Cricetulus griseus: one gene and its partners. The protein of the gene in region 6 purifies or fractionates together with the protein of the main gene of each other region. This does not show direct contact. Links are inferred from orthologs where the notes say so. Each region holds a gene or a part of one and is shown on either strand. Other genes may lie near its edges. The genes, in order: Nxf1, ATP-dependent RNA helicase DDX19A, Nup88, Bach1, Nmd3, Xpo1 and Ncbp1.

Region 1 (4,008 bases), on a different chromosome or scaffold from region 6:
TCACGTTCTTGTTCTTCCTTCTTCCAGTTTCACTATGAAAACACACGGGCCCAGTTTTTTGTGGAAGATGCCACTACAGCTTCTGCATTAAAGGCTGTGAACTATAAGATTCACGATCGAGAAAACAGAAGGGTATGTTAGACAAAGGGCCTGGTGTGGCATAGGTTGACGCTGATGCACTGAGTGAAAAGGACTAAGTAAGTATTGGCCTACCTCAAGTATACTCTTGCCTTTGTGTCTTCTCTTCAGATATCTATCATCATCAACTCCTCTGCTCCACCCCGCAGTGTACAGAAAGAACTGAAGCCTGAACAAGTAGAGCAGCTCAAGGTGAGGCTGGCTTAAGTGGCCCAGTTGTCTTTCACTCTCCCTCAGTGATCACTAAACCCTTTCTTTGTCTGTCTCTTTTCATCTAGCTGATCATGAGCAAACGATATGATGGCTCCCAACAAGCACTTGACCTCAAGGGCCTCCGCTCAGACCCAGGTATGACAGTAGTGTCCCGGCTAGAGGGAGAGGGGGCCCAATCAGTTCGTATAACTCTCAGACTTCTTTTTCTTTTTGCTTGCTGAAGATTTGGTGGCCCAGAACATTGATGCTGTTCTTAACCGGAGAAGCTGTATGGCTGCCACCCTGCAGATCATTGAAGAGAATATTCCTGAGGTGCAGCTTCTTTTTTTGCATGAGAAAGCAAAGTGGGATATATCGGGTTGGGGCCTGATGAGGGATGAGGAACCAGACTTGCCTCTGGTCTACATGTAGTAACACTTCTAAATTTTGTTCTGTTTACAGCTATTGTCTTTGAACTTGAGCAACAACAGACTATTCAAGCTGGATGATATGTCCAGCATTGTACAGAAAGCGCCGAACCTAAAGACCCTAAATCTCTCTGGAAACGAAGTAAGGACTGATAACCTAGTGATGCTTTTTTTTTAGTTAGTGATTATGAGTGGGTGGAAGTCAGAGAACAGCTTTTGGAAGTTGGTTCTCTCCTTCCACTGTGGGTTCTTGGGCTGGAACGTGGATTGTGAGGCTTGTGCAGCAAGAGCTTCTGCCCACTGAGTGAGCCATCCCACTGGCTCTGGCTTTATTGTTATGTTGGGGGAGGGTGAGAAGAGTTTGGTTGGCCAAGGTGGTAGGCAAGAAAGGAAACTTAGGTAGCATTTGGGAGTGTGGAGATCCAACTGCTATTCTTACTTGGGTCTCTTTCTTCCCTTTTGCCCTCCCCTTATCCTTCACAGTTGAAGTCTGAGCGGGAATTAGACAAGATAAAAGGGCTAAAGTTGGAAGAGCTGTGGCTTGACAGAAACCCCATGTGTGATAACTTCCGAGACCAGTCCACCTATATCAGGTCAGTTGTAGCCTCTGTCTCCCCTCCTGGGGACCTTCACCCCCTGGGAGGCTGAGCTAATGCACCCTGACCAGAGCCTGTCTACAGGAGAACATACAGCCCTGAGCTGGAACCACCTGTCCTTTGGGAGGAGGATAACGTATTCCTTTCTGCCTCTCTGTGTCTCCCAGCTTTCTCCCAGATCTCTTTTCTTTCCTTCTCACCTGACTACTGTTCTCTGGTTTTCTGACCGTTCTCCTCCTTGAACACAGCCTTTTCTAGAATCTCCCTACCTGTTGTCCAGGAAGGGCACCTCCCATTTTCTGTTCTGATATGGGGGTGTCTTATGTATGCCCCACCCATATGATTGTCTTCAGCCAGAAGCCTAGTGTACTCAGGGTGAGAAAGTCCTCTCTAACTGGGACTATCTACTGAGATGGACCTCCTTTGTCATTTGATGGTCACTCTTGCCATTGTGCCAAGAGGGACTCTTCTCATGATCCATTTACCCAAGGCTATGGCCTGGTCTTTCCTGTCCATGCTGAGGTTGATGCCTCTGGGAGGCTGGTACCACTCTATTGGTCTCTCTAGCCCAGTGCTGTGAGCTGGGCCCTTCCTGGAGAAGAAACCTGGGTTCCCTAAGATGTGACCAAAGCCAGGGCCCCGCCAGTAGGCGAGGGGATCCCAAGGCAGGTGCTGGGCGTGGAGGCCACAGGGGCATCTGCTACCAAGGAGACAAAGAAATGACCCTGTCAGGGGCACTGCCCCTCCCTCACTTGCACACCTCACATCACCCTGCTTGGCCCCGGAGGATGGCTGGTTAGCCAGAGACGGGTAAGATTCCTCAGGGAAGGAACAACCTAAGACAGGCACAGTCGCAGAGGGGCCATCAGGAGAGAACTTGGGGGCCAACTGAGGTGGGGCACAGACCCTCACCCCCCCAACTCCGGCAGGGGCCTGAACCCTCATGTCTTCTGAGGGAGGTCTCCTGGCCCCATGGCTGCTTTACCTCCCACGCCCAGCTTAGACCGGGACCCAGGGAGCGGACAGAGACCTGGCCAACAGTGACTACAAACCACTATAGTAGGATTGATTCTCCATTTCTACCTTGGACCACAGGAAAAGGGGCAGCTGAAGGAAAGGGCTGTAGGAGGAAGGCTTTCTTTTCCCTGTTCTTTTCCCTTCAGTTCTGTCTCTGTTGCTTTGCTTCCTTTCCTTACTCCATCTCTCCCTTGTCCCTCCCCTGCCTACCTTTCTATTTCCTCTTTCCCCTGGTCTTTTTTTGCCTTCTTTCCTCTTGAGCCCTGTCTTGCTCATCTCCCTGCCCCAACATCCTGTGCCATACTTGTGGTGTGTTCTGGTCTTGGCCAAGGCCAGACCTGGCAGAACTGGTGGATACCTGTTGAGGCAGCGGAGCCCCTGGGCTCTCACCCCATTCCCTCCTCCCGGGGCTGCACAGGTGAGTAGGTGGAAGGTAAGGGGGGCAAGGTGGGGAAGGCAGCCCTAGGCTTAAAGCCTGGGCTGAGAGTGTTCCTCCTGTGGCACTCGGGATCAAGCAATGAGAAGAGACAGCCAGCCTTCAAGGCAGTCCAGAAGGGGTGCTCCTGGTGAGGAGGGGAATGGGGGTTCTTGTCCCCAAGTGCAAGCTGGGAAGGAGTGGGTGATGAGCAGGATGGGATGGGCTGTTCCTCGGGTCTTTGGTGTATTTGCTCCTAGAGCAGCCCAGGAGGCATGATGGCTCTGAAGCGTCACTCACTTCTGTCCCGTTCTTGACAGCGCCGTTCGAGAACGATTTCCCAAGTTGTTACGCCTGGTAAGTTTTGCACTTCATTCTCTCTTAAAGAAGCACAGTCAAGGTCTTGCCTCTGCTTTGTGACCACCAGTGTGGGTGTGGAGATCCCTTTGAGGATCTGCTAGCAGTGTAGCCATCACCCTAGAAAAGCTCACATGAAATTCCTGGACACACATGCCTTTTTATGATTGACTTCTGGCCTGTTTCTCTTAGCTTTTCTGTGTGCTCACAGATCTGGTCGTTCTTCTGTTTCTCATGTTACATTCCCTTTTTTTCACAGGATGGCCATGAGCTACCCCCTCCAATTGCCTTTGATGTTGAAGCCCCCACCATGCTACCACCCTGCAAGGTCAGAATTGGGGTTAGAATTAGAAATTGGTGAGTGGGAAGCATACTGGTCCTGTGATCCTAATGTCGTCTTTGATTTCAGGGAAGCTATTTTGGAACAGAGAACCTAAAGAGTTTGGTCCTGCATTTCTTGCAGCAGTGAGTATCCCAGGAGCCCCTTGGGTGGGGGGTTAGTTACTGGCCTATGCATAGCTCACTACTGTGTCCCTTTGCTTTCAGACACAGAACTCAGACTCTTCCTTTCACTTTCCTTACAGGTACTATGCAATTTATGACTCAGGAGACCGTCAGGGTCTCCTGGATGCCTACCATGATGGCGCCTGTTGCTCACTAAGCATTCCTTCCATCCCCCAGAACTCTGCCCGGTGAGTGTCACGTGTCAGAACCTACCCATAACCACAGGATTCATTGGGATACAGGCCACAGTTCTTATCACCACCATCTTCCCCTCCTATTTTCCAGAAGCAACTTAGCTGAATACTTCAAAGACAGCAGAAATGTGAAGAAGCTTAAAGATCCCAGTAAGTATGTCAGTCAA
Region 2 (4,008 bases), on a different chromosome or scaffold from region 6:
TCCCTCTCCTGCCATGCTATTGCCCATCCAGTTCTTTATTAGACCAATCAGGTGTTCTAGACAGGCAGAGTAACATAGCTTCACTGAGTTAAACAAGTGCAACTTAAAAGAATGCAATGCATTTGCATCATTAAATGAATTGTTCTACAGTATAAACCAATGCAATGCATTTTCAACTAATATTCCACAAAAGTGTGCTGAACTTGAAGCCGAAGAAATTGCCAACAGTGGTATGGTGTGTCAGATCTGGGAGGATGGCTTCATTCAATAGAGTGGCCTGCCCCCCATGAAGTTGTGACCTGGGTTTGTACCCCCAGTTTGTACCACATGAAAATCATGAGCAGTAGCATTCATCTGTAAGCCTAGCTCTGGTGGTGGATGTAGGAGTGGGTGGTATGACAACAGAGGGATCCTGAGCTTTCTGCCCAGCCAGCCTAAAAAATTGAGAAACTGCAGGCTCATTGAGAGATCCCCATCTCAAAAAATAAGGTGATGAAGCATTTGAGGCAGATGTATGATGTCAATTTCTGACCTCTACACTCATGTACACACATACTTGCGCACACCTTTGTACTCAAAGAAACATACATTACACACACACATACAAAAAGCAAAAGGGGGGCTGGAGAAATGACTCAGTGGTTAAGAGCACTGGCTTCCCTTCCAGAGGTCTTGAGTTCAATTCCTGACAACCACATGGTGACTCACAACCATCTATAATGAGATCTGGTGCCCTCTTCTGGCCTGTAGGCATACATGTAGGCAGAAAACTATATATATAATAAATAAATCTAAAAAATAAAATAAACATTGAAAAAAAAAGCAAAAAGGGAATGTGTGTCAGGCTGGACATGTACCTCAAGGGCAGAACACTTGTCTTGTGTATACTAGACTCTGAGTTCTATCCCCAACACTGGAGAAACAAAAAACAAAAGGGTGTCACTATAGGTGATAAAGTGATTTAGAAGCATCATATGCTTTCAGTCTTAGCTATTTGGGAAGCTAAGGCAAATGACATTTAAAACAAAACAAAAAATAGCTTATTCATTACAAGGGCAGGAATTCCAGAAGTTGGGTCCCTGTGACAGAAGGATGCTGTGAGTTCGTGTGAGACAGTATCTCTAATAAATTAAAAATGGAAAGGGAGTGGAATTTGGCTTTTCTCCAACTGTGAGTGCTCGAAAACGTCTGATGCAGAAACGGGTTGCGTATTTTCTCAAGGGCAGGCCTTACCTCATTCGGATGAAGAAAATCTGTTTTCTTCCTCACAGAGGATAGAGCTGCTCAGTCTTTACTCAACAAGCTCATCAGAAGCAATCTTGTGGATAACACCAACCAAGTAGAAGTCTTGCAAAGGGACCCAAACTCTCCTCTTTACTCAGTGAAGTCTTTTGAAGAGCTTCGCCTGTGAGTATCCATCGCTTTGAACAGCTGTTACCCAGTCCCAGTGAAAAAATATCTCTGAACTGGGCATGATGGTGCACACCTGTAAATGGATCTCTCGGAGTTCAGTCTAGCCAGAATTAGGAAGAGAGATCCTGTCTCAAAAAAACAACAGCAACAACTAAAAGCCAGTGGTGATGGCACATACCTTTAGGAGGCAGAGGCAGGCCTGTCTTCAGGGTAAATTCCAGAACAGTCAGGGTTACATTCTCTGGACTTTAACTTTGGCTTTAAAAAGAAAGGGTTTTTTGTTTGTTTGTTTGTTTGTTTGTTTGTTTTTAATCATACTTATGTCTTTGAGTAGGTAATCTACATGATTTGCCAGGCAGCTGTGGCTCATGCCTTTAACCAAAGCACTCAGGAGGCAGAGGCAGGTAGATCTCTGAGTTCCAGGACAGCCAGAGCTACACAGAAAAGCGCTGTCTGGAAAAAAAAACACAAACTAACAAATAAACCTAATTATTCAAACATTAGTGTGGGAGGGTAGAAGGTTGTAATAGAATAAGTACTTAGCAAATTTGAAGTCGTGTGTTTGATCCCTAGCACTGCACAAAGCAGGCATTAGATGGCACACCTGTAATCCCAGCGTTTGGGAGATTGTGCAGGCAGGAGGATCTTTTTAAAAACTCAAGGTCATTCTAGACTATACAGCAAGTTTGAGGCCAGCCTAGGACAGAGGAAACTATATTGAACACGTTTACAGTGACGGTCTTCTCTCTTGGCTACCCTTTTTCTTCCAGTATAACTTTTTCTTTTTCTTTGGATACTAATTCTCAGTGGCCTGGTAGTGATATAGGCCCATGACCTAGCTGCTTTGAAGTAAGAGATTCAGAAGTTTAGGACCTGCCTGGGTCACAACATGCATGTGGCATCTTGTATGTTGCCCTTACAAGCTTTGGACACCTGGGCTCAAGGAGCCTCCCACCTGAGCCTCACGGGTAGCTAGGACTATAGATGTGGGAACAACAGTACATGATTTTCTTAGTAGAAACTGAAATGCTACAGATTTATTCATCATAGCTGAAAATCTTTTTTTTTCTTTTATACTCTTAGAACTTTGAATAAAAATATTGGCTGACAGGTGATTTCTGGATGTCAGAAACATGTCTTATTAGGTAAGCCCTTTGGAAGTCTACAGGCTTTACAAACATTAGCCTGCTTTTAGAAACTGCCTGAAGAGCCTGGATTCCTGACACCTAAAATACATCGAAGCCTTTGATAGACCAGCTTTGAGGGAAGGAACCCCCTAACGATAAAATGTACTTAATAGCTCTCAGAAGGGGTTTTCTGGGTTTTTTGTTGTTGTTGTTGTTTTGGTTTTTTTTTTAGATTTATTTATCTTTATTATATATGTGTAGGTGTTTTGCTCGTATGTTTGTGTGTGCAATGCCTGCAGACCAGAAGAGAACATCAGATCCTCTGGAACTGCAGTTACATACTGTTGTTAGCTGCCATGTGGTTGCTGAGAATCAAACCCAGGTCCTCTGGAAGAGCTGCAATTGCTTTTAACCACTGAGCCATCTCTCCAGCCCCAGGGTTTTCTGTTTTTAATTATTTGAGCTGTATAGCACTGTGACCGTAGTCAGCACCACTGTGTCTGTAGTCAACACTACTTTGTACTCAACAATACTGTGTCTTAGTCTGCACTACTGTGTGGTCAGCACTACTGCACTGACTACTTGAGAATGCCTAATGCATGGAGCTGTTTTGGCAAATACTGTGTGTGAGAGAGAAACACATTTCTCTCTGAACTTGGAGGACATGTATTCAGCTAGAGATCCCAGGGATTCTTGGGTCTCCGCACCCCTGTTAGCACTGGATTATAGGCATATGCTACACATATAATCCCAAATCCTCTTGCTTGTGTAGCAAGCACTTTACCAACTGAGCTATTATACCACAATCATTTTTTATTACTAAAAAAAATAACCTTTTAGAGATAAGAGTTTCATATAGCACGTGCTGGTTTCAAACTGCTTTTGACTGAGGATGAATTTGAACTTCTCATGTCCTACCCTTATCTGCCGTATGCTAGGTTTATTGGCATGTGCCACCACCAGGTCTGGTTCATTTGATTCTGGGACTGTTCCATGCATGCTAGGTAAGCATTCCACCAAGTAAGCTACATCCCCAGCCCTTATTTTTATTTGTTTGTTTGTTTTGTTTTGTTTTTCAAGATAGTTTCTCTGGGTAGCTTTGTAGACTAGGCTGGCCTTGAACTCATAGAGATCTGCCTGCCTCTACCTCCTGAGTGCTGGAATTAAAGGCATGTGCCACCACTGCCCAACTGATTTTCATGGTTTCTCAGGGAATTAGGCTTGAAAGTGTTTCTTTGTCAAAGGGTTTATTAATTTATTCACCAATTTGTCATCTGTTCCTGCTTTTTTTTACTTTTGAGCCAGTTTCTCAGTATAGCCCAATAGCTCACTTTGTAGACCAGGCTGGCCCCAAACTCAGAGATCCGCCTACCTCTGCAAGTAAAATTGTTCACAACTGCCCTACAGAATTTTTTTTTTAAATTAAGCTGTGTTCTTTTATGCATGAGTGCTTTTGCCTGCATATATA
Region 3 (4,692 bases), on a different chromosome or scaffold from region 6:
CTAAGGTTCAAAGAAACACAGTAAGGTTTAGAGTCAGTAAAACTAAACAGAATCCCTGATACAAACTTATAGCCTTCCTTGATACATTGTAAATGGTTTTCTATGGACACACAACTCCCAACTGATTGGCTGGAATCAGAATGTTGCTGTAGACATCCTTTTCAAAGTGATGTCCCTAACCCATTCCTAATCAGTCAACATTTTCAAGGGGGAAAGCAAGAATGAATGACATTTTCTTTCCTTTTAGCTTCATAAGTTTAGTTTCATTACAAGGTTGCAACATGCCTACAATCTAGTATTGCAGAACCATCAATATAAAATCAATACTCAAAATTAGAAAAACCTGAGCAAAAAAGCTGTTAGAACTATGCTTGGGGGCTGGGAGGTGGGTAGGTTGAAAAGACAGGGAAAAACTGATAGAAAGATGTTAGCACAAGTTCTTCATGGAGTGTCTGCTAGCTACAGACCCTTGCCTGACCTGAAACAAGGCTTCTGGACAATTCTCTACAGACTTCAAAGAGTTCCACTCTTCCTCCATCACTTCTTGCACAAGAAATCTGTCTGAGGCTTTCCCTGGTGTGCCACCTCCAGCCTGGCGGTACCTGGCCAGGAGCCTGTGCCGGCTGTTTCTCATTCTCTCGAGACATCCCTGTGGGAAAGGAGTCAGAATAGTAAAAGAAAGAAAAGGTCAATTCCACTAAAAAAGAAAGGAAAAAAAAAAAAACAAACCTCTAACTAGTTCGTAAAACTATTTTAGTTTTAGATGCAAAATTTTGTATTCTCAAGTCCTCACCCACACACAGATAGGTAAAATTACAGTGCTTTGCTCATGTATCTCCAGATTCCTGTAGTTCACATTTTATCTTGAATGCAAGCAGTCGGGTGCATAGTAACTGCATCCACAGACTGACGTCAGACATTTATATAGCTTCCAAATTCCTGCTACTGTACATAATGCTATAGTGATGATCTTCTTACACAATAGTACTTCTCAACCCTGATGGTTTTTTTTAAAATGTATACATGTGTGTGCCTGTATGAGTTTATGTGCACTGCATCAGTGCAGGTGACCACAGAGGCCAGAAGACGGCAATGGTGGCGCTCTTGGAACTGGATTTACAGCCACCAGGTCTGCTGCAAGGGCATAAGTGCTCCCTCCTAACACTTCACCATCTCTCTACCCCAACTCAGGACGACTTTTGGTAGTCTTGAATTCAAGATTCACCTCCGCTGGCCAGGCACTCCGGGCATCTGCTTCATGACCAATGCTGAAGTGAGGGCACAGAGATCAGCGGTCCTAGGGACGATTAGGGAAGTGATAACGAGCCAAATCTCACACTCACCTGCCTGAAAGCTTCTTTCCAGGGCGGCGAGCCCACCTGTTTATACAACAGGCGGTGCGGAGACCCCGAGGACTCTGCCATCTCTTAGCGGGAGGCGGCTCCCGAATCCCCGCCCCTTAGCCGCGCGCAAAGGATACTGGAAGTTCTAGTTTCTGGGTGCTGATCGCCCTTCAGGTGGCGAGGTTTTCTTGGAACTGTCTCTAGTGGCTATCCGCTCACAGACAGGTTTAGAGGAATCCAAAGACGGATGAAGCTGTGACAGTTGAGAAGTAAACACCACCTGGGCTGAGGGAGGTGAGTCTTGAGAGAAAGTTCTGGGTCTACCCGGAGGGAGGCGTCAGTAGACAACTAGACACACACGTCTCCTTCACCCTTCCAAAACCGTCTCTAAGCCGGCGATGTGGTTGACCACGCCCCGCCCCGCCCACTTTGACGTCAATCTGCGGCGCCGTAGATTGGCTTTTCTCTAGTGATGCCTGTCCTCGGGTTCCTACTCGCTGATAGGCTGAAGCTGTGGAGAGCTGGTCGCGGATTGGCTACGCGCCGCGGCGGGCCAGAACCGAGAGCTGTTGGTTCGAGATGGCGGCTGCCGAGGGGCTTGCGGGTGACGGGGAGCTGTGGCAGAGCTGGCTTCCTAACCATGTCGTGTTCTTGCGGCTCCGCGAGGGCCTGAAAAACCAGAGTCCAGCCGAAGCGGAGAAGCCAGCGGCTTCGACTTCGCCCTCGTGCCCGCCCCAGCCGCCGCATTTGCTGACGAGAAACCTGGTGTTCGGCCTCGGAGGGGAGCTCTTCCTGTGGGACGCGGAAAGCAGCGCCTTCTTGGTGGTTCGCCTTCGAGGTCCCGGCGGCGGCGGCGGCGGCGGCGGCGGCGTGGAGCCCCCTCTCTCCCAGTACCAGGTGCGCCCGTCCGTCTTGAAAGCGACCCTTAGCCGGCCTCTCACCCAACTTTGAGGTCCGCTTCGCGTCTTGGTTGTTGGGCTCTGTCGTGGGAGTGGTAGCGGACACCCCGCTTCGAGTGGAAAAGCCCCTCTTTGATATTTTTATCCCTCTCCAGCTTGTTTGTTATTTCGGTCACTGCCAGGCACTTAGAGGAGCTCGTGCTGTTTAGGTGCTGGCTTTCTGAGTGTCTGGGGTGAAAAAGACAGAACCGTGAAATGAGAAAAGCACAGCAGGGTAAGAGAAGTTGGCGGAGATGTTTTTAGCTGTTTGACCAAAAGAACCTTGTGACACATTCTTTTTGTTTTTTGTTTTTTGTTTTTTTTTTTGTGGGCTTTAAGACGGATTTAAAAGGACCAAATTACCTGCCTGACGTGAAAAGAGAATCCCTGTATTTTGGTTTTGGTTTTGACCTTTTAGGCCCTCACTAAAGTTGGAAAGGCTTGTTCGTTTGTTTCAGAGCAGGGAACCAACACACGTGCACACACTCCCATTAACACACACCTTCGCCTTCACCGGGGGAAACATAGGAGTTCCAACTCTGAGCTAGGTCTTCAAACTTTTTTGTTTTTGATGAGCCAATGAATGGCTTGTGAAAGTTGATATAATCACAGTGTATTCTATTCTAGACTTGCTGTAACCGAATACTGCTTTATTGAACTGTTCATTTGTAGTAAACTGATACTCTTTCAAAGACACACCCCCTGTATATTTCAATCATAATTTGGGAAATTCACATCATGCACCCCAATCCCGCCCACCTCCCAGTCCCTCCAAATCTGCCCCTCATCCTGTAGCACCCCCCCAACTCTACCAAAAAACAATTAGTTAAAAACAAACAAAAAACCACCTCGCTCCTCAGTTAAAGACTTTTTTTTTTTAAGCCAGGATTGGTGGCACAGGCCTTTAATCCTGGCACTTCAGAAGCAGAGGCAGGAAGGTCTCTTTGAGTTTGAGGCCAGCCTAGTCTACATAGTGAGTTATATATATATATATATATATATATATATATATATAGAGAGAGAGAGAGAGAGAGAGAGAGAGAGAGAGAGAAGAGAGAGAGAGAGAGACCCTGTCTCAAAAAGAAAAAAAGGAGCAAGCAAGCAGACAAACAAGCAAAAAAAAAAAAGAAAACCCAAAATGTGACATTCATTCTAATGTATGAGATGTACTGTGTGCCCTGGACCAACCAGTTCTTACTAAGAAGTGATTTGATTTTAACAAGGTGCAGCCAGGGCTGTTGAGAAACTACGTCAACATTTACACATCTACCGCTGTAAAATTCCCATTACGAATAAGTATCAGAAATTCACACATACTTCAGTAAATTATTTTGTTTTGATTTTTTTCTCCCCTTTGGTTATGTATCCCAGGCTGGTCTGGAACTCCTGCTTCGGTCTCTGAGTGTTGAGATTACACGTCTGAGCCAGGCCATCGTTCGTGTGTGTGTGTGTGTGTGTGTGTGTGTGTGTGTGTGTGTGTGTGTGTGTGTGTGTGTGTGTCAGAGAGAGAGAGAGGGGGGGGGGGACCACAGTTAACAGACTGACCACATGCTCCTGATCTTAAGCCCTGCTTCTGCCTGACTAAAGGTGGATAACTTCATACCTGGTTCCAGTACACTGTTCAGTTTTTGGTTAATAACGTGTTCATGCTTTGTAACATTTAGTGCAGTAATATGCAGTAATAATTACTTTAAAACTTTTGTTTTATTTTCTCATTTGTAAACACCAAAACAGAGGCTATGTTTACCTTTTTTATATCCAGTACTTGTCATAAACCTAGAGCATGTAAGAGCTCTGTATTATTTGGTGACTTTTTTTTCTTTTTCTTCTTTGTTTTTTGAGACAGGGTTTCTCTGTGCAGCAGCCCTGGCTGTTCTGCAACTTGCTTTGTAGACCAGGCTGGCCTCAAACTCAGAGATCAGACAGATCCTGTTAAGAACTGGAATTAAAACTGTGTTCTGTCACTGCCCAGCTCTGCAACAGGCATTTAAAGACACGCTAGCCTACAGATATAAAAACAATTAGAAATCTCATTATATTCAAAAAAGCCTTATCTTAAATGATTAAATGCATGGTTCTCCATACACAGGTAAATAATATGTTGACAGTCTCATTATTTACTAAGAGTAAAAAGAAAAAATAGAAATCTGAAATGGTCATGAGAAAAGAAATAGGAAGTACCAGTATAGAAGTGAGTATTTTTGAGGATGTGTGATGTGATGACAAATTATTACAACTCCCTTAAAATTATCACTCTTTGATACTGAACACAGATAAATCAGTACTGTTTGCTGCAAAGCTCTTGAAGTTAATCTAGTGTTTCACTTTGAACTTTTGGGTGACCTGCAACTCAGACTGAGGCACCTGTAATCTTCCTCCCCAGTACTAGGAATAAAGGTGTGTACCACCAC
Region 4 (4,008 bases), on a different chromosome or scaffold from region 6:
AGCGTGAGAGCCAGCATGGGGTAGTAGCTGTGGCGTTCGCCTTGGCTGGCAGGCCAGTGTGGACAGCTGCCTTGAAGGAGGACTCCTGATCCCAGAGCTCCCACCAATAGGAGAAAACAGGATTTTGGAAAGCTAATCTCTACTGTTCCCAGCAGTTCTTAGAGATTGCTTTTGTTGATAACTGAATCATGAAGACCCATTTTGAGAAGAATCAGACTGCTCCTTCTGTAAGGGTGCAACCCCAAGCTCATCCACCTTCACGTTTAATGTTGAACTTGCCGATGGTGTTGGTGGTATGCTGGGTCAGCTAAAGGAAGGCTGGATCCTTCACTGGAGGCAGAGTTTCACTACAAACCAAACGACCGTGTTTTCATGGCTTACCTGTGTAAAAGCAAACACAGATTTGAAGGGGATTTAGGAATTGATTTTTGCTTGTTTGCAGCTGAAACACCAGGATGGTGAGGTGGAGCCCGTCTGTGATCTGAGTGAACTTGAGATTTCTGCTTTCTTGGGATGGATCAAATCTGAAAGCATGACAGTGTCTCCTCCACTGACCCTCTGGGGGTCAGACAGGGAAGCCGATGTAGGAAGAAATGAGTCATGCAGAGGGGCCTAGGGCATCATCTCTGGGCGCACACCTGGGGATGCTCAGCACAGGCTGTGGGGGCTGCAGGAAAATGGCTTCCCTTAGACTCTGCAGTTAGCACAGGCTGTGGGGGCTGCAGGAAATTGGCATCCCTTAGACTCTGCAGTTACAGGTCCTCGTGTGTCTCAGGGTGTGTAGAGCAGAACAGTCCTGGCAGAAATGACAAGCACACATGTATTTGCGGTACCTCCTTTCTTTGAGTGCCAGTATTGTGCACATGCTCAAAAAAAGTTTGGAAGCCACTTTATGTCCAAATAATGACGACTTTGTCTTACACTGTAGCATTTTGAGGAAACCAAAGCTTTCTGCGCATGTTCTTTGCCTGACTTTGGCCTCCCAGAGTATAGCATGTGGAAAGTGAATTCTCAGATGTGTCCTGACACATGGGAACCCCTTTTCCTGTGCCTCCGAATGAACTTGACCTTCGGTTATTGGAGTCTCTGGAGAGGAAGCTCTGCCTTTGACTATTCTCTCCTCATTGTGGGTGAACAGGACATGGAGAATGGTGGGGTGCCCCATCCCAGCATGTGACCTCCCCGCTCTGGCCACACCGTGACCTCTCTTCAAGTAGAGGGTGGGATTTGGACTGAAGGTTTCAGCCAGGCCTTGGCTCCTATCAAACCTGCTCTCAGTATAAACTTACTTTCAGGCACCCAGCACTTCCTGAGCTCAGGACGTTCTTACTGTCTCTAAGATTTTTGCCTTAAAATTAGAATTAGTCCATCAGCCTGCTTTACTTGTGGTTTGTCCTTCTGGAGACGTTTGTCCATTTTTGTGTTAGTGACAAGTACATATTTTAATTCATGCTGACAGTTTGTTGTTTCAAACACATTTCCCCCCAGGATCTGTTAAGTGACATCTTCCCTGTGTGTTTGCAGGTCGGTGACAGTTAGAAGCATGCTTCCCACTGCTCTCCCTGACCCCGTTTGCCACCCAGGATGTCTGTGAGTGAGAGCGCACTGTTTGCCTATGAGTCTTCTGTGCACAGCACCAACGTCTTGCTGAGCCTCAATGACCAGCGGAAGAGGGATGTGCTGTGCGATGTCACGGTCGTGGTGGAGGGCCAGCGGTTCCGAGCCCACCGCGCGGTGCTGGCTGCGTGCAGCAGCTACTTCCACTCGAGAATCGTAGGCCAGACGGATGCGGAACTCACCATCACTCTGCCTGAAGAGGTGAGGGGCTACAGCGCCGTCAGTCCCAACCTGTTGTTCCCTAGCTGCCTTCTGGGTATAAGCTGAAAACAGACTCTGGTCTCCCTGGGGGGATGGGCATCTCGAGGAGCATTTCTGTAGCAACCCTTTGGGTTCTGCTACAGGAATATTCACATGTAAAGGTCTCACTTTGGATGCTAATACTTGCTGAGCAGTGGAATATGTTGAAACAACACTTGCATCTTAGTCCACCTCATAAGGTCGTAGGCATTTGGAGGGGTTGTAGCTGAGAGAGAGCTGCCTGTGTGACCAACCCTCTGAGGGACAGCTGTGACAGGTTCTCTCCTAAGACATCCCCCATGAAAAGTAGGCGCTCTCTGAGTGGATTTCTCCCTGATTTCTTTCTTCTTGAGATTGTCTTTGTGCTTTGGGAGGAAAGATGTCTTGGCCAGTGCAATGGATGGCTCAGCAGGTAAAGGCATCTGCCGCCAAGCTTGTTGACCTGAGTTCGATTCCCCGGACTCACGTAATGGAAGTCGAGAATCCTGCAGGTTGTCCTCTGACCGCCACATGTGAGCTGGCACACACCTTCCCACCTCCCCACCCAATAAACAAACAAACGTTAAAAAGCAAAATAGTTTGTTGTCTTGTTTTACACACACCTTTCCATCCCCAGTCTGTAACTTAAGCTTGTAAATACTAGGGTCTTTGTCATTGTCCTAACCTCAAGGGGCTTGTCTGAGATGGGGTGGGGCTGGTTGCACTGATTCTTCCTGGCTCTATTTATTGGGGTGTGTGCTTTGGCAGTCACTGTTCTTAATCTATTTTGACCTTGGACACAAAGAGTTTTGAGGAGACTAGGAGGAAATGTGTAGACTTCTTGTGTATGACGTACTGTGTGATGTTCCCTGTTGGGCATAGTTGGATAAAGTGCGAATTCATCTTGTGTGTTACTGTGACTGTAGTGTTGGGTGTGAGCCAAGGGTACCCTACCATTGATTTTACAGAAGAACAGTAGTCACAGCGTGGGTTTGCTTTCTACAGTTCATATTTCAGACTATTTAATGAGGCTTTACAGGTAGAACAAAGTTTGTCTAATGGGTTTGAAGAGAAGATGTTTATTTTAATCCACATCTGTATGCATAGTGCGTACATTTGGATGTTTTATGTTTATTCTGACAAAAGATATATCACAAGTTTTCAAATAGTCAACTGTCTCATCACAGGGACAGGTTGAAAACATTGCATATATTTGTTTTTTGGTATATTTTGGGAAATTTTAATTGACATTTTCATTCAGGTTATTATAAATTCAGAGTAATGCAGAATTTCTTTTACTCTTTTCTCCGTGTTCCATCGGTAACATTTTGAAAAAGTAATAATGTCCCAATAGGAATGTTGATGTGGACACAGTCCATGCATGGTGAGCTGATGGCCGCAGTGTTACATGTATTGCTCAGGCTGTGTAAGTTCTGAGGATTTCTGAATTCGCTGCTGGTTAGATCTGGATCACCAAGGATCCCGCTGCTGCTATGCTATTCCTTCCCACGCTTGGGCCCCATACTCCCCTCCCCTCTTCTGTCTCTAGGTGCTGGCAGCCACTTCTCTGTCCTCCTCTTGTGAAGTTTGGTCATTTCAAAGCGGTCATAGAAGTGGGGCAGTGCAGTGTTACGCGCCCTTTTTCACTTAGGATAATTTCCTGTTATTCGGATTTCTTGTACCAATAATTTATTCTGTGTTGCTGATGAATACTGTAATAGTTATGTCTTAATTTTCCTTTTTAAAACCTTTTCACCTGTTGAAGGGATTGAGAGTAGGTTCAATTTTTATGTGTAACAGATAAAAGTTTGTGTAGGTTTTTCTGTGTGTGTGGAAGAATGTTCATTAATCAGGGATTAAAAAAAAACAGAAGTGCAATTTCTGGTCATAAGGTAGTTTTGCACATTTTGTTTTTTTAAGAAACGACCTAGTGGTTTCTTCAAGTGGGTATTCATCTGACAGCCCTACCAGCATTGGAAGTGACCCAGTTTCATTGTTCTTGAAGAATTTAGTAGTGCTTATTTTAGTGGTTTCATGCTAAACGCTGTAAGGTTAGCATGTTTTAGGAGAGTCTTAGTATTTTGGTCAATCTGGTAGTAACTCAAAGTTTTAAGTGTAATTTGTATTTTTAACCCAGGTGAACTTTCTGTTCGAATTTGCAGGCTTTCCCAC
Region 5 (4,786 bases), on a different chromosome or scaffold from region 6:
TTAGGGAGTATTACTAGTTGGTGGACCTAAGGAATTAGTCTATTTCATTCAAGTTGTTGAATTTGTCTGTGTAACTTCATCATAGAATTCCCTTATAAACTTTGCCAGTTACTTATATATCTTCTTCTGAAACTGTTGTAGAACATTACAGATTTTGTCAACTTTTGTTTCTTTGATGGAGTCTCTGCTAGAGCCAAATGGAATGCTATCAATGGACTGGTGATCTGCTTTTGCTTAACTCCACCGATAATTCATAGAAACTATTTCTGTTTTCTTAGTTTATTTCTTTTATTAACATCTTCAGAAGGATGTAACTTCGTGTCATTGTTAGGGTTACTCTTGCTTTGATGAAACACCATGACCAAAAGCAAGTTAGGGAGAAAATGTTTTTTTTTCTGCTTACGTTGCTATGTCACAGTTCATCATCAAGGAAGTCAGGACAAGCAGGGCAGGAACTTGGAGTCAGGAGCTGATGTAGAGGCCATGGAGGGGTGCTGCTTACAGGCTTGCTCCTGGTGACTTGCTTAGCCTGTTTTCTTATGGAACCCAGGACCTCCAGCCCAGGGATGGCACCACCCACAATGGGCTGAGCCCTCCTCCACCAATCACTAATTAAGAAAATGCCCTACAGGCTTGTCTACAGCTCAGTCTTATGGAAGCTTTTTTTTTTTTTTTTTTTTTTTTTATTGCGGTTCCCTCCTCTCAGATGACTTTAGCTTGTGTCAAATTGACATAAAGCTATCCAGCACACTTTGCATAGGTGAAAATATCTTTATTGGGGCTTGAGAGATGGCTCAGAGGTTAAGAAGACATGGCTTCTGTTTCCTGTACCCACAAAGTGGTTCACAACCAGTTGTCTCCTTCTGATCTCCTCTGGCATTAGACGTGCATTTAGTACAGACACACATGCAGGCGAAACACTCAAAAGAAAGTAAATTTAAGTTTCTTAGAAATATTAGGATCTCCTTTTGACACCAGTTTCTGAAACCACATTGTAACTGTTGCTTACATATCTATTTTCATCTATTTTGTGAATTCGCTTCTCAGAAAAAACATGTCCGGATTATTTCTTTAAGAATAATTTCCTTTGGTGAAAAACATTTCAGTTTTTTCTGCTTATCATTAAAAAAGTACAATGTAATCTAGGAGAACGTTATCAGATTTTTATTTTTTGTTGTTTAGTAAACAGTGATTTGATATGCTTAGGCTATCTACGGTGATATTCATATTGGGCAATTTTTAGAAAGGTTTATCTATCCTATGTATATGAGTGTTTTGCCTGGATGACCATATGTGCACCACCGCATCAGATCCTCTAGAACTAGAACTGTGGGTGGCTGAACCCACCTCGTGGGTGCTGGAAATTGAACCCAGGTAAGAACAATTGGCTTATAGTCGGTGAGCCATCTCTCCAGGTCCTATATAGAGCATCTTCAGGGTATGGGAAGGGTGAAAAGCAGAGGGAGGACTACACAACCCCAGCAGCGGTGACCAGAGCTCCCTGCCTGCTCAGCTCGCCCCGCCTCTCATGACCCGCTACCTCCATAGGCCCCGCCCTTTGCTACACGTGTACCTTACCTTTGACCCGCCCACCCTCCCCTTTCACCGGAGTCGTTTTGAACACGGAACTTCCGGTCCTGCTATCGCGAGACATTCCCAGTGGCGTTGGCCCGCTGAGGCAACTGGCAGGGAGTCCCGGCCTGGCGGGCTGCCGGTATCTTGCCCTTCCCCTTGCCACGCAGGAGCTGGTAGGTTCTGGGGTCGCGATCCGTCTCCTGGCGCCCGCACTGGCCCGTGGAGGGAGCGGGCCGGGCCCTGCACCCCGGCCGCGAGCGGACCGCGTGGGTGCGGCGGGGCAGGGCGGTGCGGAGGCCGGCTCCACGCGGGGCCGCGCGCGGCCTGAGGTCGTGTGTGGAGGACGCCTCCGAAGCCACCCACCCGGGGCCCGACCTGCACGGCCGACGCCACGGGACGTAAGGCTGCTCATCGGTCCCTCCCTTCCTTTAATAGGTCCGGAACGATGGAGTATATGACAGAATCGGTTGATCGCAGCCCCGGACACATGTGAGTCGCGAGCCTCCCTCTCCTTCCTTAGTTTGCAGATCGTGAAATGAGCCCTGGAAAACTTTGAGCGGCAGAAGCCCTTTTCTCAGTTGGAAAAAAAAATCAAGTCTTAATCCCTTAGGAAATCTAATTCATTTTAATTGATTCAGTTCATTTCTAAGTTCGATCTAGAACATGCATGCTTCATCCTAGACGACCTGCCAGAGAGGCACCGCACATACGGATGTTTTGAGTTCATAACTCAGTTCCTCCAACACACGAGCCACACACTGAGAACTCAGTAGCCACATAAAACTAGTGGCTACCGCTGGAAGTTTATTATATTTTTCTTTTGGGCAACAGTGTCAATGGTTCACAAACTTTTTTTTTTTTTTTCAAATCTACTTCAAATAGAGTCCTGCAGTGTAGCCCCAACTCCGCATGAAATTCACCCTGTAGCCAAGACTGACATTGGGAGCCTGGCCCTCCAGCCTTAGCCTCCCCAGTGCTGAGGTTATGTCAAGCCCAGTTCACAAAATTTTTCTGCTTCCAGTACACTATAGAGTTATACTTCTGTCTAGAGCTTCAGCAGATATCGATCCTGCCCTGTAGTCGGTTTTTCTTTTTAAGATTAATTTTAACGTAAAAGTTAATGCGTTTCATTATGACATTTTTATGTATACATATGTATGAGTATACATATATTTAACATTGTACAGTGCTCATATTTACCCTACTGCTGTGCTTCACTGTCTCCCGCCTCCCACTGATCCCTTTTCTCCCCCTAATAACCTTTCTGTTTTCATGTTATACATACCTTATCTTTTACCGTGGGTCCCAGTAACTGAACTGTTCCTAATGTCGTGGAGATAGTGCTCTGAACAAAGGCATCTGGTCGGATGTGACCTACACAGGGTAGTGTTTAGAAGATTAAAGAGAAACTGCACTTACATGTTGCTTGTTTTGGTTGTTTCCTTGTTTAGTTTTGCTTTTTGAAACAGTCTCACCATGTTAAGCCCCACCTGTCCTAGAACTCAGAGATCTGCCTGCCTCTGCTTCCTAAGGGCTGGGCCTAAAGGTGTGCACCATCACACTGGGCTGTCTTACTTTTTGTTCACATGGGATCTGCTTCAGTTTTTACCATTGATGTTACACTATTTTCCTTGTTAATCTCTTTTTTCCTTAGTTTTCCAATTTTAAAGAAGGGATGATGAATGACTAGAATATATCTGTCATTGCATGAAGTTCTGTTGCACAGTGCCATTGTCAGATTTTTGTTTAAATTAAAGATAAAGAAGAGGAGGAGGAGGAAGGCGCAAGATGAGACACAGGATGAGACATATTAGACATATTAACCAGTTTATTATAGGCCTGGCAGAGTAAGGAGAGTAAGAGAGAAGAGAAACAGTGTAAATGGCTGACCACCATGGCTGGTCACCATAGAGAGGGAGAGAGAGAAGAGAAGCAGAAGTAGACAGAGAAGAGGAGAAGTGTAGAGAGAGTGCAAATGGGCAGGGATCTGTCTTTTAAAGGGGTTCCCTGCAGTTGCAGCCTCCTTATTTTTTTGGGTCAATGTTCCAGGGCTCTTCTTCACTCTTTAAGATTGCTTTTTTTTTTTTTTTTTTTTTTTTCCTGTCTTAATTTGAGACAGAGTCTCATTGTGTAGTCCTGGGTGACCTGGGACTCACAGAACTGTGTTCCCTGCTTCCTGGTTGTTAATTTTAAAGGGGTTTCCCACCATGCTCAGCTTGTCCTATTTTGGCTTTAAAAGTTGTTTTACATGTGTGTGCATGAGTGTATATGTGTGTGTGCCATGTACATTCAGGATCCCACAGAGATCAGAAGAATAAGGGTTGAATCTCTTGGAACTGGAGTTATAGTTGGTTGTAAGCTGCCACTTGGGTGCTAAAAACTGTTTCCAGGTCTTTGATTTGATGGATGGATGGAGGGAGGGAGGAGGAGGGAGGAGGGAGGAGGGTGGGTGGTGGTGGGTGGGGGTGTGTGTGTGTGTGTGTGTGTGTGTGTGTGTGTGTATGTATGTATGTATGTATGTATGTATGTATGTGTTTTTTTGCCTAGTGAATTTATAAAATCTAATTGGAAAATTTTTATACTTATCTTCTCAAGCTTGTGCTGTGAGTGTGGTGTTCCAATTAGCCCAAATCCTGCCAACGTTTGTGTGGCTTGTTTGAGAAGTAAAGTTGACATCAGCCAAGGTGTTCCAAAGCAGGTCTCCATTTCTTTCTGCAAACAGTGTCAAAGGTATGGTACTGTATGTTACTTGTTTAGCTTTCTTAAGTTGATATTCATACAGAGAGCCACTGGGATGTGCTGGGATTACACCAAAGTACCAGAAGGAAGCATGTGCAATTGAGATTTAATTTTTACTTAGGTTGATGGTACCAAAGATTTTATAATTTGCGATTTCCTAATGTGCTTTCTACTGTCCTACTAATTTGGTAAAGATAGTAAAAGTCCTTGTATAAAAGTATTTTGAATTTGACAGTAGAAGATGCCTTCTGAGAGTGGATGTTTCATTCCTTCTTTAGTTTCATTCTTTCAGTTGTTGGCACAAGCTACCTACATCTGGTGGTTCATTGAGAGACAAAACTTGCCAGTGAATATAAAAATTTTATTCCTGTAATTTCCCAAATAGGTTTAGCACTTGGCTTTGTATATGTGGAGGTTGTCTGTCCCCCCCCCCCCCCAAGAAATCAAAATGTGTCTCCTCAGAATATCTGTG
Region 6 (4,008 bases):
CCAGACAGTGCAGCTCTAACAAACCTCTGAATGCAATTGGTTTTACTCATTACTTTTCTTCTAGACTGAGATACAGGCTAGAAAGAAAATGCTCCCTAATTAAAATTGGTAATGTTTACAAGAAAAAATTTTATAATTAATTTTGCATTAGAATTTACAAGTATATGTTCAAATCAAATTAATTCCTCCCCCCAGCCTTGCCACAAAATAGGCATGAAGTAAAAGTTTTTTAAAAATGCCTTAATTTTCAACTTCATGCAAACTAAAGATGACCAAAACAAAACCTTAAACAATGGAAGGATATTTCACAGAAAATTTCTTATACAAAAAACACATAAGAAAAAGGGCCACTAGGTGACATTTTAATTTACAAATTGGCATCATTTTGGTCGACAAATAATCCATATGCTGTTTTCTTCTGTGAACAAATGTTGCAGAGAGAAAAAAACCAAGTATGACTTCAGATTTTAATCACACATTTCTTCTGGAATTTCATGTGGATTAAGAATCCCAGGTACAGACATTTGAAGTTTATGCTTCTCCTCCTGAGCCTGTCGAAGCGCTGTTTCTCTTTCTTCCAAAAATAGATCAGAGGTATCTTCACCTGCAAACTCCTGTGAACACAGACAACTGAGGGTCAAATACAATAAAACTTCAAGTTGCCTCCGGGGGACTGGGGGACAGACATCTATGTAACCATTTTGCCATTTGCAATAGAAATATAAATTACCTGTCACTTGGATTTATAATTGAAGTGTATTAGTAGAATCTTAAATTAAAAACAAAACTTGGGGTGGGAGCCTAATAATGTAGTGTTATCCCCTATTAAATATCCTTTGTTGTTGTTTTGAAGAAGGGTCTCTGCGTGTCATATTCTTTGCATTCAGAACTCAATGATCTTATTGTACATGATCATCTGACATCAATTCTCACTAAATTGCCTTGAGTAAGTCAACTCTGTGCTTGTTCACTAGCACCACAAATTTTCCTCTCAAGCATTATCTGAATCACATGACAAGAATAATGGTACACAAGTACATTCACAGCACTCAGGAGGCTGCCACAGGTGGACTGCTTGAACTCACAGGTTTGTACCAAGCATAGGCAATACATCAAGATCCTGTCTCAACAAGATCTGGCCCACGCCTTTAATCCCAGCACTCGGAAGGCAGAAGCAGGCTGATCTCTGAGCCAATTTGTCTACACAGTGAGTACTAGGACAGTCAGAGCTATACATATAGTGAGATCCCACTTCAAATAATCCAAACTAAAAAAACCTCAACAAAGTGCAAGGAGCACTGCAATTCTTTAACACTAGAGGATTAAAAACATAGCAGATAAAATGGCTCAACAACTATGATTAGTCAGGCAGTTGTGATGCAAACCTGTAGTCCCAGCACCCAGGAGGCAGAGGCTCCTGAACACTCTTGAGTTAAAGGCCAGCCTGGTCTACAGGCTGAGTTCCAGGACAGCCAGGGCTAGGGGTGGTGGTTGAGGAATGTAGCTCAGAATGTTTGCCTGGTATTTAAAGAAACTATACTGCCTTAAATTGTAAGCTTCAGACTATCCTGGTCTCAAAGGAAGTAGATAGCATGTCTGAGGATGACCTCCACAAGCACATGTATACAAGTGCAGATGCATGAGTTCAAGGCCAACCTCGTCCACACAGTAAACCTCTCACAAAAAGCAAAATTAAATAAAAACTTAGATTAAGAAAGATATACCTTTATTTGTACTAAGAAGTCCCTTAGATGTTCCTTGAAAGCAGGAATATCCTGATTTAAGCTGAAAAGTCCTGTTACAAAAAGCTTCACTTGAGCACTGCAAATAAACACAAAAATTAACCATCTTTAAAAACTAGACATTTAAGGCACTATGTTTAAGACCACTTGTTTATCTATCAAGCACATCCATCAAATTTCAAAACTTAGAAGATTTAAATAATATAACTTGAGTTAAGGCACTTGCTGTCAGTCTAGGACCCATTACTGGAAACCACATAGTAGATGAAAAGAAATTATTCCCATGTTTCCCTCTGATCTGTACGATGTACAAAGTTGCACACACCCACATGCATCTATCCACAAAACTAACATTAAAAACAGAATCCACTGCCCATGTCAGGTGACTCCCAACTGCCTATAAATCCAGCTCCAAAGGGAGTGGTGCCTCTGGTCTTAAAACTTCACTCACATGCACACACCCTCCCCCCTTCTCGTATAGTAAAGATAGTAACAGAATTATTTACTCTTGTAGATGAGGGAATGCAGACTTAAGGAGATTAGCCACATATTCTTGAATAAACACTTGGTTGTTAACTGGATTTCCAGGATTTAACGGTGTACTTATTTTTCCTTCTTCAACCAAATTAAACATATATGCAAGAATTGATGCATGCATTGTTAAGCCTGTTGAATAGAAGCAAATTATTAATTCAAAGATAAAACTTAACAACCAGAACACTTAGTAGCTTTGTGGTTCCAGTTCTTACCTGCCGTATGTGAAGTGTCGGTAACAACAGAAAAGATATGTTGAAGAATATCACAAAAATAAGTTTGATAAAAACTCTGGGCTGCAGCTTCCTCTTGCGCAACATTTTGTAAAAGCGTAAAAAGTATCTGTAAGCCTAAAGTCAATAGAACATCATTACAGACTGATAAGATATATGGGGGAGGGGAGAGGGTTTCTGTGTGTTTTTGGAGCCTGTCCTAAAATTCCCTCTACAGACCAGGCTGGCCTTGAACAGATATCTGCCTGGCTCTGCTGGGATTAAAGGAGAGCTTTTACTAAATAAATAGATGTGTAGCCAGGCATTGATGGTGCACGCCTTTAATCCCAGCACTCGGGAGCCAGAGGCAAGCAGGTGGATCTCTGTGAGTTTCAAGGCCAGCCTGGTCTCCAGAGTGAGTACCAGGATAGGCTCCAAAGCTACTTACTACACAGAGAAACCCTGACTTGAAACCCCCCCAAAAAAGATGTGCATATGAAAATCTGCTTGGGGCATGTTTCATTATGCTTTATAGAGCGCCTGCATTTTGTGTATGCTCAGTTTCCTTTAGTTCTTAATAGCTGTTCATAAAAACTAGCTTCTGGTTATGATTGTTGATTTCTTTTTTTCTCTTTTTGTTTCTTTTTCTACATAGGGTTTCTCTGTATAAACCTGGTTGGCCTGGAACTTATATATCCATGTGCCTCCCAAGTGCCAGGATGAAAGACATGTCCACTATGCCTGTGGATTTCTTTTGTTTGTTTTGTTTAAAGAGTACTGCGTTTTCATTTCTTAAATTTATTCAACATTTTAAAAATTTGGTTAACCTCTGGTAACTGAAACCTCAGAAATTAAAGAGGTATCAAGTGGGACTTAGTATATAGTATATACTTCTGATTCATCAGGCAAATGGGCTAAACTACTTTTCTGTGTATTTACCTGTATCTGCAACATTCCTCATTGTATGTTTAAAAGCCCAAATAATAGAATCCAAAACAAGCTTAAACTGTGCAGGTGGAATAGCTAGGAATGCTGGGAAGCAATGAGAATTGACAGCCTGAAGTAACAAGAAGAAGTTTGTTCTGTGTTCTGGATATTCTTCAAAATCCTAAAAGAAATGAGAACAAACATTATTAAGGTAGGGAAATAACAAGCCTGTACTTCATCAATAGGTCCTGTAAGATATATTGCCCCCAAAGAAAAACCCACATGCTGTAGGATAATCTTTTGTAAATCTGTGTCTCTGCCTAAGGTGCCTTCTGATTGGTTTAATGAGCTGAATGACGAACAGCTAGACAGGTGAGGACTGGTGGGACTTCCAAGGGGAGAGAGGACTCTGGGAAGAAGCAGAAACTGAAGAAATTAGACATATAGTCCAGGAAAGGTAACTAAGCCATGAGGCAGGATATAGATTAATAAAAACAAGAGCTAGTTGAGACAAAGCCTAGGCTAAGTCCCAGCTTTCATAATTAATAGTAAGTCTTCATGTATGTATTTACAGGCTGGAAATCTCAAGAAAA
Region 7 (4,008 bases), on a different chromosome or scaffold from region 6:
AATAAAACAAAACAAAACACAAAAACAAAACCAACTCAACTCTACTTTAAACATGCAAATGTGCATGCCTTGATGGGGGAAAGGGTCTGAGCTGAAAAAGACATCTACTTTCTCATCTATTTTCTGAGTTAAAAAATTAACTCAAATGATTTCAAAATTCTAAGAAAGAAAACATAAGAAAACCACTTCATTTTAGCTCTATGTATCCCTTTAAAGAAAAAAATAAGTTGAACAAAGGGCAAGAGGAGCATCTCATGAGCAGGAGTTTCAGGATGGAAGGGAGGCCAGTGACATGGAATGTAAACACATCCTCTGCACATTCCCCAAAGCACATAAGAGTAGATAATACATTATCACCTGATGCACAAATCTTTTACATACATACACTGTACAAAGAAGCCTTAAGATCTTGCTCTTGTAGTTAGGAAGATCAGCTTCCAAAACACCAGCCAAGCCTTCTAGATTGCTCTCCAAAGAGCAGGCACTCTGCAGAGGACATCACATTAATTATCTGTTAGCGCTCAAGCAATCAATGACTTAAAAGTTAAAATTCCTAGATGACCATAAAACATTAAGGTCTTCTATAAGGCACTGTGGGGAAGAAAAATAAGAACTAAGGACAATTTTGTAGAAAATTCACTTAGCAGTAATAAATCCGAGTAGTTACTGTTCATTAGAATTATATTCTATGAAAAGAGAGTCAACAAAATCTTCAAAACAGTCTAAGCAGAATGTGCATCCATCCCAAGTGTGGGGACAGCATGGGCTGTGCTCCATCACTCTCACTAATCACCCTCTGCTGTCTGAGGTATCCAAGTCTGCTTCAGGTCATCATGCTGAGGACTATCCTCAGGTCTATTTTAAGGCTTGTCTAATGAAAATTACCAAAACACATTCCCATTGGGATACAGATGTGCAGTAATAACACACACTTTGTCTGTAACTTGAATCACCCACTACAACTTCAGAAATTAATCAAAGCTGTCAGCCACAACCCTAACCCCTGGGTTTGATGCATACCTACCTTTTCCCCTACTTTGCATATTAAAGATTCCAAATGATCTTCAGTTTCATTTGCATCAGAGGTCTTTCTCCTTTTGTGAGGTTGTCCACCTATTTCAGAAACATTAAAAAAAAAAATTACATGATGACTCTACTATCACAATTTTTGTCACCTTGTTAGCCTTTAACCTCTTTTCCATCAGACTATGTTTTTTAGAGTAGCTCTAACCAATCACATTTTAACTAGTCTAGGTATACCTGGACAATTTCTATCCCGCATTCTTTTAGATTTGTGTGTACGTAAGTGGATGCACACATGTATACAGGTTCCCATGCTAGTACACTCATATACAGCCAGGAGAGGGTGCTAGGTGTCCTCCACCACACTATTCTTTAAGGCAAGGTCTCTCCCGAACCTGGGGCTCACTTTTCTTAGCTAGGATGATGGTAACTCCTAGTGATCCTCCTGTCTTCACTCTCTTGAAGTTGTGGTTAAAGACATATACTGCACACACTTAGAGTGCTGAGACCCAAATTCCAGTTCTCATGATTGTGTAGTAAATGCTTTTAACTGTTGAGCCACCTCTCCAGACCCCAGTCTCTCCCTCTCTATGCATGTGCGTTTATATATATTTAATTTTTTTTTATTATTTTATATGTACAGATGTTTGGGCTATATGTATAACTATGTACCACTTGTATGTCAGGAGCCAGTGGAGGCCCGAAGGGAGATTCATATGCCTTGTAACTGGAGTTATGGACTTCTGTAAGACACAATGTGAATGTTGGGAATTAAACAGAGGTTCTTGAGAAGAACAGTTGGTGCTCTTAACTGCTGAGCCATCTTTCCAATGCCTCACATTGTCTCTGTTATTAAGGTCACTATAAAGAATAATGTCAGGAGGCATTTTTTCAGTTAGATTTGTGTAAGCAATGTCCACTTCTTCGGAAACACTGAAGGGCACCAACACACCAAACACCCATAATCTGAGTACTGCTGCTTCCATTCTTTTAACTTGCTTACTGACCCACAGTTTTTGGTTCCTAAACCTCATAGTGTCAACCGTACTTGTTAAACTGATGATGTAACTAAATTACTGCAGAAACTGCTGAAATAAGGATTTAGAAACAAGTTGACTCTGCTGGAAATTTTTTATTTAAAGTATGACTTTAAACTTAACAGTGCTGATGCTAAGAAACTGCTTCAGAATGCATAATGCACCAACAGTGTTCTTCATTATTATTCAGAACCAGATTTTAGGTGAGGGTCAGAGAATACAGAGTGAAAAACTAGCTGAATGAGAGCAGCTGTTTTTCTAAACCTTTTCAAACTTTTTCCTTCCTTCTGGCCCATCTACTATACTAATCCTTTATCACATCCCAAAGCCCTCCTAATTATACATTGTTCCAGTTTGCAACCATTTTTGTCTTCCAAACATTTCTTCCATGTCCTCTTGTAAGCCTGACACACAGAAATCACTGCTTTGGGGAGACAAGGCAGACTTTCTAAAGACAATGAGAAAATACAGGCACATAGTCATATCTCTGAACTGTTAACTTCTGTGTTGCTGTGGCTATCCAGCCAAGGTTTATCTGGAGAAAACTGAAAGTACTAGAATGTGAAGAGTCACTCTTCTTACCTGATACTTGAGAGGGTATGAAAGGTACATGTGAGTGCTACCGATCACAGTCTGAACCCATGGACAGTAATAAGACACTGAACTCAGCAGACAGTCCGAGTGAGAGCACAGAAGCAGAATACAGCACCTTTATTAAAAATACTTTGGGGGGGGGGCTGGAGAGATGGCTTGGTGCATAAGAATACTTGCTACTCAAGCATGAAGGGCCAAGTTTGATCCCTAGAATTCACATCAAAAAGCTAACATATGCCTGGTATTGTGGTCTTTAAATCCACCATTAGGGAGCCAGAGGCAGGTGGATCACTGAATTTGAGGCCAGACTGGTCTACCTACAGTTCTAGGACAGCCAGGGCAAATCAGTGAGTCCCTGTGCTGGCTAAATTTATGTAACTATTCACAGGCTAGAGTCATTTAAGAGAAGGGAACCCCAATTGAGAAAATACCTCCATAAAATCTGGCTGTAGGCAAGTCTATAGGGCATTTTCTTAATTAGTGATCATGGGAGAGGGTCCAGCCCATTGTGGATGGTGCCATCCCTGAGCAGCTGAGGCTCAGAACCTAAGGTGAGCCACTGAGGAAGGTGCAGCCTCCACAGCAGTTGAAGGCCCACGATCAAAGGGGTCATGAAGAGTAGCTGAGGCTTGGCACTGTGAAGAGAGCCCCGGAAAGGGCTATTGGTGAAAGAGCAGCCCAGTTGCAGACAAGACCCCAGCATTTTGGAGAGGCCAGTAACATGGTATGACCAAGGACAGTTGCACGGATGGAGTGGAACCTGCCAGAGCTTAAGAGACAAGCTGTGTGTGCTGCAGAGAGTGAAGCAAGAGAAGAGACCCAAGATCCTTGGAGGATCCCAGAAGATCATGAGTGGATCCCAGACATTGGACACAGAGTTATTTATAGGTGGGAGTTTGGATTTGCTTTGTTCAGACTGTGAATGTGCTCTGGTTCTTGCCTCTTGAATAAAAAAGCAACTTATTTTTGAGACTTTAAAAGTTTTAAAATCCAAAGTGTTTGCATTGGTAAAGACTGTTGGGTTCTTACGTTTGTAATATGTTTTATATTTGTGTTATTTATTAATCTGAGATACTGGAGATGAAAAAAAAGGGAAAGGTTATGTCTTAAGTAAAGTATGTCAAACTGACAAGGAGTCAATTGTGCCGGCTAATTTTGTCAACTTGACACAGGTTAGTGATGTCAGAGAAAGGAACCCAATAGGGAATATGTCTCCACAAGACTGGGCTGTAGACAAGCCGGCAGAACATTTTTTAAATTAGTGACTGACAGTGGAGGGACCTGTCCATTACAAGTGGTGCCACCCCTGGGCTGGTTGGTAGTCCTGGGTTTTATAAGAAAGCAGGTTGAGCCA

The links.
Region 1: the proteins of Xpo1 (region 6) and Nxf1 purify together in Homo sapiens (affinity purification with mass spectrometry; 3 studies listed by BioGRID and IntAct, with this or other methods). This does not show direct contact. The link is inferred for Cricetulus griseus from reciprocal best matches to the Homo sapiens genes XPO1 and NXF1.
Region 2: the proteins of Xpo1 (region 6) and ATP-dependent RNA helicase DDX19A fractionate together in Homo sapiens (co-fractionation; 3 studies listed by BioGRID, with this or other methods). This does not show direct contact. The link is inferred for Cricetulus griseus from reciprocal best matches to the Homo sapiens genes XPO1 and DDX19A.
Region 3: the proteins of Xpo1 (region 6) and Nup88 purify together in Homo sapiens (affinity purification with mass spectrometry; 3 studies listed by BioGRID and IntAct, with this or other methods). This does not show direct contact. The link is inferred for Cricetulus griseus from reciprocal best matches to the Homo sapiens genes XPO1 and NUP88.
Region 4: the proteins of Xpo1 (region 6) and Bach1 purify together in Homo sapiens (affinity purification with western blotting; 3 studies listed by BioGRID, with this or other methods). This does not show direct contact. The link is inferred for Cricetulus griseus from reciprocal best matches to the Homo sapiens genes XPO1 and BACH1.
Region 5: the proteins of Xpo1 (region 6) and Nmd3 purify together in Homo sapiens (affinity purification with western blotting; 3 studies listed by BioGRID and IntAct, with this or other methods). This does not show direct contact. The link is inferred for Cricetulus griseus from reciprocal best matches to the Homo sapiens genes XPO1 and NMD3.
Region 7: the proteins of Xpo1 (region 6) and Ncbp1 purify together in Homo sapiens (affinity purification with western blotting; 3 studies listed by BioGRID and IntAct, with this or other methods). This does not show direct contact. The link is inferred for Cricetulus griseus from reciprocal best matches to the Homo sapiens genes XPO1 and NCBP1.

What each region holds. Positions count from the first base shown.
Region 1 is NC_048596.1:51,328,684-51,332,691, reverse strand, and holds part of Nxf1 (nuclear RNA export factor 1), read left to right. Parts: intron 1-27; coding exon 28-132; intron 133-249; coding exon 250-330; intron 331-416; coding exon 417-486; intron 487-574; coding exon 575-663; intron 664-792; coding exon 793-900; intron 901-1,241; coding exon 1,242-1,351; intron 1,352-3,106; coding exon 3,107-3,143; intron 3,144-3,402; coding exon 3,403-3,471; intron 3,472-3,552; coding exon 3,553-3,608; intron 3,609-3,727; coding exon 3,728-3,835; intron 3,836-3,932; coding exon 3,933-3,991; intron 3,992-4,008.
Region 2 is NC_048596.1:187,392,321-187,396,328, reverse strand, and holds part of ATP-dependent RNA helicase DDX19A, read left to right. Parts: intron 1-1,269; exon of another isoform or gene 1,270-1,271; coding exon 1,272-1,407; intron 1,408-2,496; exon of another isoform or gene 2,497-2,535; coding exon of another isoform or gene 2,536-2,558; intron 2,559-3,478; exon of another isoform or gene 3,479-3,533; coding exon of another isoform or gene 3,534-3,544; intron 3,545-4,008. UniProt on the Homo sapiens protein: ATP-dependent RNA helicase involved in mRNA export from the nucleus.
Region 3 is NC_048600.1:84,773,577-84,778,268, reverse strand, and holds the start of Nup88 (nuclear pore complex protein Nup88), read left to right. Parts: upstream 1-1,499; 5' UTR 1,500-1,637; intron 1,638-1,847; 5' UTR 1,848-1,922; coding exon 1,923-2,240; intron 2,241-4,692. Other genes in the region: Rpain (RPA-interacting protein), read right to left, coding at 479-649, 1,344-1,424. UniProt on the Homo sapiens protein: Component of nuclear pore complex.
Region 4 is NC_048597.1:9,663,445-9,667,452, reverse strand, and holds part of Bach1 (transcription regulator protein BACH1), read left to right. Parts: intron 1-1,524; 5' UTR 1,525-1,584; coding exon 1,585-1,818; intron 1,819-4,008. UniProt on the Homo sapiens protein: Transcriptional regulator that acts as a repressor or activator, depending on the context. Binds to NF-E2 DNA binding sites. Plays important roles in coordinating transcription activation and repression by MAFK.
Region 5 is NW_023276806.1:83,373,526-83,378,311, reverse strand, and holds the start of Nmd3 (60S ribosomal export protein NMD3), read left to right. Parts: upstream 1-1,593; 5' UTR 1,594-1,748; intron 1,749-2,010; 5' UTR 2,011-2,020; coding exon 2,021-2,064; intron 2,065-4,170; coding exon 4,171-4,305; intron 4,306-4,786. UniProt on the Homo sapiens protein: Acts as an adapter for the XPO1/CRM1-mediated export of the 60S ribosomal subunit.
Region 6 is NW_023276807.1:83,477,923-83,481,930, forward strand, and holds the end of Xpo1 (exportin-1), read right to left. Parts: intron 3,597-4,008; coding exon 3,428-3,596; intron 2,627-3,427; coding exon 2,492-2,626; intron 2,409-2,491; coding exon 2,249-2,408; intron 1,822-2,248; coding exon 1,725-1,821; intron 615-1,724; coding exon 468-614; 3' UTR 336-467; downstream 1-335. UniProt on the Homo sapiens protein: Mediates the nuclear export of cellular proteins (cargos) bearing a leucine-rich nuclear export signal (NES) and of RNAs.
Region 7 is NC_048595.1:97,281,734-97,285,741, forward strand, and holds part of Ncbp1 (nuclear cap-binding protein subunit 1), read right to left. Parts: intron 1,114-4,008; coding exon 1,025-1,113; intron 487-1,024; coding exon 386-486; intron 1-385. UniProt on the Homo sapiens protein: Component of the cap-binding complex (CBC), which binds cotranscriptionally to the 5'-cap of pre-mRNAs and is involved in various processes such as pre-mRNA splicing, translation regulation, nonsense-mediated mRNA decay, RNA-mediated gene silencing (RNAi) by microRNAs (miRNAs) and mRNA export.